Linked DNA regions of Daphnia pulex. The main gene of each other region encodes a partner of the protein of the gene in region 2 in a complex. Links are inferred from orthologs where the notes say so. Each region holds a gene or a part of one and is shown on either strand. Other genes may lie near its edges.

Region 1 (3,807 bases), on a different chromosome or scaffold from region 2:
TTCATCCACCAAAGTCCACAACACGTCAACACCACAACCCCGAGATTTGAGAATGTTGTCTGCTTTGAACTTTGTTTTAAGTTCTGAAAACTGTGATTTTCACTATTAATTGAATTACGTATAATCTAAAAACGTTCTGAATTTGTGTTATTACAAATTATAGTGACTATAGCAGGGTAAAATATTGTAACATAAAACAATGTTTCAATGGAAGCCAACTTTTTTACAAAGGCCCAGTCCTCCAACTGCAGAGCAACAGGAAAAAGACATGATGAATTGTGTTAACAACTCAGATGTAGTCCAGGCTCTGGATATGCAAGGTAAACTTTGAAGTTCTGTTTTTGAATTTCATCATGAATTCTTAAATAACATATTTTAATGCAGATAATGTATGTTCAGTAAATGCAGGAACAAATGAATGGACCCAAAAATTAAATGACCTACTTATGTATAAGAAAAATTTAGACACCAGCATTCAAGATCTGAATACCAGATTCCCAGAACTTACAAAGATATCAAATGAATTGCAAAATATGTCTGATAATGTAAAATTAAAGGCTTACCAATCAATAAATTAAGATAAGGCAACTGATCCAGATGTATTTCACATTTTCCCACTTAAATATCAATGATAACATAGACTTGATGCAAATTTGGTTCATCATGAACTTGCATGTTAGAGTAAGTGATAGCCTTAACTTCTGTTCCCTGAGGGTGCTTCTTCAAATCAAAAGTTTCTCCATAGCCAGTTGCCACAATTTTGAAGTTGACGCGATCAAATTCTGTGATTTTCACTTTCTACACAGAAAATTTTGAATAGAATAAATCAATAGTTTAATCATGTGGAAGGTTGACTTTACCCTAGCAATAAAGAATGGCTCTGCACTAAAAAGGAAAAGGAACTCATCAAGTAGATGAAACAACAATGATTGAATATCCTCTCCTTGAGCTTCAATTTCATGCTTCTCCAAGATTTCCACTTTATCAATTTCAGTCATGTACCCAAACTAAAAATAAAATCAGTGAAAAGGAGCAAATATACAATAATGGTAGTAGGTAATATGGATATGTGGCAATCTAGTATTACCATGGCCTGAGTACATTGTTCAAAGGCTTCTTCCAAGGAATCCCCCCAAGCATGAAGCCTATTAAAAGTAAAACATTTAGCCAACAGAAAAAAAGAATAATTGAACAATCTTACTGAACATCAGCGGTATGATCCAAATCTGAGGCAAATAAAGATTACAATTCAATTTTTTTTTTAAATCACTGTTCAAAATTAATCACTTTAAATCATGATTTTACTTACATTCATATTTCTCAACAGGAATCTTTTTTTCCTCTTCAGTTAGATCTGTCATTTCCAAAGGGAAGGGAGCAATCTTTTCAAATGTTTATCAAGTATAACTGCAAAAGTTGATGCCTGGATATTTTAGAAATTGAACAGAATATATTTAAGGAATCTAAATCATTTATCAAATTTCAACCAACTTCTTTAATCCTTTTACTTATATACATTAGTTTTGTAGTTAGGAAAGTGATTGTACTCTTTCATAAACACGTTTTTTTTTTTAAATTGAATGAACGTTAGCAGAAAGCAGACGTGATCAAAGTAGGTAAATAAAGCCACGGCCCACGAGTCAGTAAAAACTCGATTATAACGACATCTTCCTTCTGTCTGTGACAATAATGAAGGTTTTCTCTTATGCAACATTGACAGCCTTGTAGTGGAAATCTACTAGCACAACCATTCAAAAATGGTCATTTAAAATTTAAATTAGGTCACTGTTTAGTTAGGTCGGTTAAGGAGTTTAAACGTTTTTAAGGGAATGTCGTGGCAATACTGATATTTGAATTCAATCCACGATAGATGCCGCTGTAAAAGAAAGTTTTTTCACCGTCTTGCTAAGGTAGTTTAACCAAGAATGTACGTTTACTTTATGGTTTAACATCAGAAATACGTACAACGTAAAAAAAATGATTTCGCTTTATATTTAATTTAACATGAACTTCCGCTGACCATCGCTACTTCGCTAGTTCCGGCCTTCCGGGTACAGAATCTTACTTGCTTTACCGCTAGATGTCTTCCTGTCAGTGAGTCCACTGGCACAGAGCTCGAACTTTTCCCAGTATTATATCTTCTCGACTCGTTCACTATCGGTGAACTACGGTAGCGACAGTCACCTACTAGTATAGTTGACTAGTTGGACTTGTGAATTAACGTCAGAGATAAAGGCGAATCTATTTGGTTGTCATTTCCACATATAACCAACGGTTGGTGGTCGTCATTGATGCATATTTTAGGTATGAGTGCTACAGTTAATAATCGTTAGTTAAAATGTTACAAGTTTTTCTGTTTTTCTCCTAATCAAGTCTTAACGGAGAGGACGTATTTTCGTCTTATTTCTCTTTACATCCGCCATTGACTGTTTGTATCCATTCGCCGTTGGTTTTTCTACTTCAATGTGCTCAGGCATCATTCAGGTAACAAATTTGATTGGGGATGTATTTTATTTTACCAGTTATTTATAAGTACTTTTTTTTACCAACCTAAATTATGTTCAAGTTCAAGAAGCCTTTGTAGTTCTAGTTGTTAGGTAACGTTTTGTGTGTCTTTGAAACGTATGAAATGGTGAACTCCACCCTTGCTTTAAACTTGCATTTGTCTTCAACATCAGAATAGCGTGAACTACTTGGGGAAATAGATTTTAGAAATTTGACACTTAGACATCTTCTACTTTTATCAATGAGAATCACATATTTCTCATGGTCCATATTCAACTAGGTTTCCTTTGTATTTGTGTTTCGGTCTATAACTATGCACTTTGGTTAATTCTAAAAGTGTGTAGTCTAAAAAGTAGACTACTTCATTTTTCATTACATGCAGAATAAGATTAAAGCTCCAATGCAAAACTTTTCTAGTTTGACCCAAGTAAAATATTATTTATAATTGGCTCTTGGGAAATTTGCCAAAACGTTCCAATCGTTTCCAGGCGAGCCGCAGTATTGCGCGTTGGCCAGCAAGTGGCCAAAATAAGTACGCACTTCATTCTCGTGACTTTTCGCCTGCGAAAGACGAGTTATTTTTAGTTGACGTGTCTTTCAACTGAAAAATAAGCTTCACGAAAAATTTGCTTCCCCGATTCTGGGCCAGCCTTTGACTGTTTACAAAACACTTGTGTGTACGTTACGGCAATCGGCAAACAAGGAAATCCAGTTTTCTTTTTTAGTTAAACTTGAAACGGTGAATAGGTGACATTGAAGCTAATACGTGTAGAATTATTCGAGGTTAGTAGGTCAAGCTCTATACCCCAGTTTGAAGCACTGAAGGTTTCCCTTCATTTAGTTCGAAGATGCGAGCTCTAGTGGAAAGGGCGATTGAACAGACTTAGTTATTTTCCCTAGTAATTATTTTGCCGTTTTCGTAGAGGTTGGTTGTTCACTTGTTATCATATAGATTTCGTGTGATCTAATAAGAAGTTTCGTTACCAACATTTCTAAATCATTTTTGTCTCTCCATTTAGCGTTGCCAGGAGTGGCGGCACCGATACCTGGTAGCTCATTTGGGCAGCGAAGATTATTGCCAAGCTCAGCATGAAATGCAACTCGTCATGAACCGATAAATAGTTTCAACCAATTGCAATCGCCATCAGAACATTGTGTGAATCAATCAGGAGACGGTAGTGTGTGGAATTATAATTGTGAGGTTGTTGTCAGCGACAAGACTCACCGAGGAGAGAGTCTTGAGTGCATTCGAGTACACTTCTTTTTCCTTTCCCCACCACTACAGCAATCTGGCGTCACTGG
Region 2 (3,274 bases):
AAAGACATAACATGAAATAAGAGCTCCTTTTTTAAATATTATTAAAAATACCCGACAATAGAACTCCAGTGCCCGACAGTAGAACTCCACTACGCGACAATAAAACTCCAATAAATTCTTTAATTATTTTCATGTTCGACAGTAGAACTCTATTGAATTTTAAATATTTTAAATGTCCGACTATGGGCCTATGGCAGAGAAAATTTCCGCGTTTTGGGGCAGGAAAAGTATGTAGTTCTATATTTGATTGCTAGATGGCGTTGCGAAACGTTTATTTTTTTTTCTTTCGGCGTGCAATAACAAACCTTCGAAAAAACAGAAGTCGAGAATCGGTCGTCATTAGTTGTACCTATATCTCTACTTTCTTTCTTTTTCTTCAAGTTTCATAGTCGGAGAAATCTGTAGTGAAGACCACCAGTTGTTCTTCTCATCTTCTGTATTGCTAACATCACTGTATTGAAATGGATAAAGATTGCCTAGGTTGTAGGATTGTAAGCGGCTCAGGTACAGGACATATGACAAACCCGTGTATTTCGTAACAGATATCAATATGTTTAAACCACAGGTTTAATTGGAGCTGCTGCGTACATAGCACATCAATCAAAGAAATCGGTTCACAAATGGGGAAGGCTTTTTATGCAAATCACTAGCTTTGGTACTGAATTTCAGATGAAAAGTATCTTTTTAATGCAAAATGATTTTTATCTACTAGGCTTTGCATCAGTGGGTGCAGCAAGACTCTTGAATATTTACCCATTCAATGTGACTCACAAGAATTTGCAGTTGGAAAAAAAACAAGAAGGAAGTTAACAGTGAAAAATGTTTGGAGTTTAACTTGTTAGCCATGAGAAAGAAAATACACTCAAAATCCAACTTTCCCCAATTTTGTGTCTGTTTTGGGATTAGCAGTGAGAGCTTGAACACATACAAGGCACTCATTGATTTTGGTTTGGAGATCTCTTAGATCATGAATGAATAAATAACGAAGGACATTTGCAGCACTGCTTACATTGGGGGATTTTATGTCCAAGCCAAAGCTGATGTTTTCAAATTGAACAGGGTTTCCTGGATTCTTGGTCTTCAAGGCCTCTTTCAATGCATCTTGACTTAACTTTTCTTGGATTACATTGCAAATTCCTTCTAATGTCATTAGATGATCTGGATGTCTGGGAACTTGAAGAAGGTTAGCCAATTCAACAACCCCAACTTTGAAATCTTCACTTTCAACTGCATCAAAATGTAAAGAATTCTTAACAATGATTTAAAAAATATTGAAATAAAAAGCTCTTACAATCCAAGTTGTCAAGTGGATTTGATTGCTGAGAAGTTTGTTGTTGAATCTTAGGACTTGAAGTGTAGCTTTCGGGTTTCTCATTGAACTCAAATTGCACTGCCAGCCCAAGAAGCCAGTCTACAATTTCCGGCCTAGAACCATTGGCAAAAGGGCAATCCAGATCCTTCAAATATTGTTCAAAAGCTTGGTTCCACTGTTCGGCAGTTGTATTCCTTAGAGATTCCCTATCTTCAATCTTGTAGCGGCGTACCTTCTGATCTTCCAGCCAAACAATAGTGCTTCGAAATTGCTTTTCGTCTAAGTATAAAGAAACAGTGGTAGTTTAAATCTCATTGCAATAACACACTTATAATGTAATACCTGCAGTATTCAAGGTATCGGGATTAGGAAAACCCAATGCTTGTAATTTTCGCTTGAACATTTTTAACGCAATATTTCGAGTGAATAATTTTTTCCACAGATGAGCAGAAATTGTGAGATGAAAAATAATAAGTAAGGATATTGATTGTGTGCTCCCTGAAAAAGTCTGAATGAGTAATAAACAGGAATGGAATGAACGACAACGAACCGACAACGAATGACGATGGTTCAGAAAATCTGTTTCGTCTGCTTATTTTTGTACTTGTCGACATGTGCTGTTGTGCAATGCCAAATTTATTAAAACTCAACTTTCAGAATTTGAAAAATTGTAAAATCGAATTTCGGACCAGTTGCAGATGGACATAGAACTACATAAAATGTCAATGAAATTATTGAATCAAGGACAATTTTCAGAACAGTCTATTAATTTTGAGAGATCAAACAAACAAACAAAGATAAAACATCTCTAGGAGTCTTGGACTCTAAAGAGCGAAAATTTTAAAATCACACCAATTAGACTAAAGGATAAAAAGGAGGGTGCAGAATTTTTAAGGTGCAGAAAAAAGATAATACTGTAGTTGTAATATTGATAATAGATATAATGACAATCACAGCATTCGTTAAATATTTGCTTTTGAAATAACCGCTAGTTAATTTCAAGGAGAGGGCATACAGCCCAAGCGATCGAAAGCAGCTTTTTCAAGTTCTTCTCGATGATCTGGATGGGCGATTCGGATGAGTTCAAATGCGCGCTGGCGCAGATTTTTACCGAACAAGTTTGTATAACCGTATTCGGTTACCACATAGTGGACGTGGGCACGTGTTGTAACAATCCCAGCACCTTTATGTTGGAACAGAAGCATCGTTTAGCCAAATCGACGTGATAAATGCATTTATAGAAACTAGGGGGACGATACCTTGTTTCAAGTAGGGTACAACTTTTGACTCGCCCTTTTTCGTGCTAGATGGCAAAGCTAGAATTGGTTTGCCACCGTCGGGACAAAGTCCCGCTCCACGTAGGAAATCTACCTGTCCGCCGACACCTAGTTAAACAACGTCATCCATTTCAAACAAACGGTTCAGTAAAATATTATTTGTGTTAATACAAGCTTACCAGAATACATTCTGGTGCCTATAGAGTCGCTTACAACTTGACCAGTTAAATCTATTTCAATGCACGAATTAATGGCCGTCACTTTGGGGTTTTGCGCAATCAATGAAGATGAGTTAACCCACTGAACATCACCCATGACTGCAAAGTAAAAGATTTAATAACATGGAAGAAAAAATCCGTTAAAGATGATGTGAACTGAATACCAATGAATGGGTTATTGTCAAGGAAATCATAAAGTCGCCGGGATCCCAAACAAAAGCTACCGACAATTTTGCCTATGGTCAAAAGTAAGAGAGAACAATGAGGCCGTGTTTAACTACGCTAATAGTGGTACTAAGATACCTGGCAATATTTTCTTTTGGCTATTGGTTATGCAACCAGCTTCAACCAAATCCACCACTCCATCGCTAAACATTTCAGAATGAATTCCAAGGTCGGTGTGACTCTTCAATGACGAAAGCACAGCGTCAGGAATGTTCCCGATACCTACGTGATTGAAATGAATA

Evidence for each region.
Region 1: RNA transcription, translation and transport factor protein-like (region 2) and protein archease-like share a complex: the UniProt entries of both Homo sapiens proteins name them as parts of the tRNA-splicing ligase complex. The link is inferred for Daphnia pulex from reciprocal best matches to the Homo sapiens genes RTRAF and ZBTB8OS.

Annotation. Positions count from the first base shown.
Region 1 is NC_060024.1:1,631,592-1,635,398, reverse strand, and holds protein archease-like, read right to left. Parts: upstream 2,085-3,807; 5' UTR 2,066-2,084; intron 1,656-2,065; exon of another isoform or gene 1,492-1,655; intron 1,424-1,491; 5' UTR 1,362-1,423; coding exon 1,310-1,361; intron 1,227-1,309; coding exon 1,202-1,226; intron 1,146-1,201; coding exon 1,088-1,145; intron 1,008-1,087; coding exon 861-1,007; intron 799-860; coding exon 619-798; 3' UTR 575-618; downstream 1-574. UniProt on the Homo sapiens protein: Component of the tRNA-splicing ligase complex required to facilitate the enzymatic turnover of catalytic subunit RTCB. Together with DDX1, acts by facilitating the guanylylation of RTCB, a key intermediate step in tRNA ligation.
Region 2 is NC_060020.1:507,585-510,858, forward strand, and holds RNA transcription, translation and transport factor protein-like, read right to left. Parts: upstream 1,934-3,274; 5' UTR 1,716-1,933; coding exon 1,655-1,715; intron 1,592-1,654; coding exon 1,292-1,591; intron 1,228-1,291; coding exon 863-1,227; 3' UTR 515-862; downstream 1-514. Other genes in the region: 4-hydroxybutyrate coenzyme A transferase-like, read right to left, coding at 2,311-2,495, 2,572-2,697, 2,769-2,906, 2,972-3,043, 3,111-3,254. UniProt on the Homo sapiens protein: RNA-binding protein involved in modulation of mRNA transcription by Polymerase II. Component of the tRNA-splicing ligase complex and is required for tRNA ligation.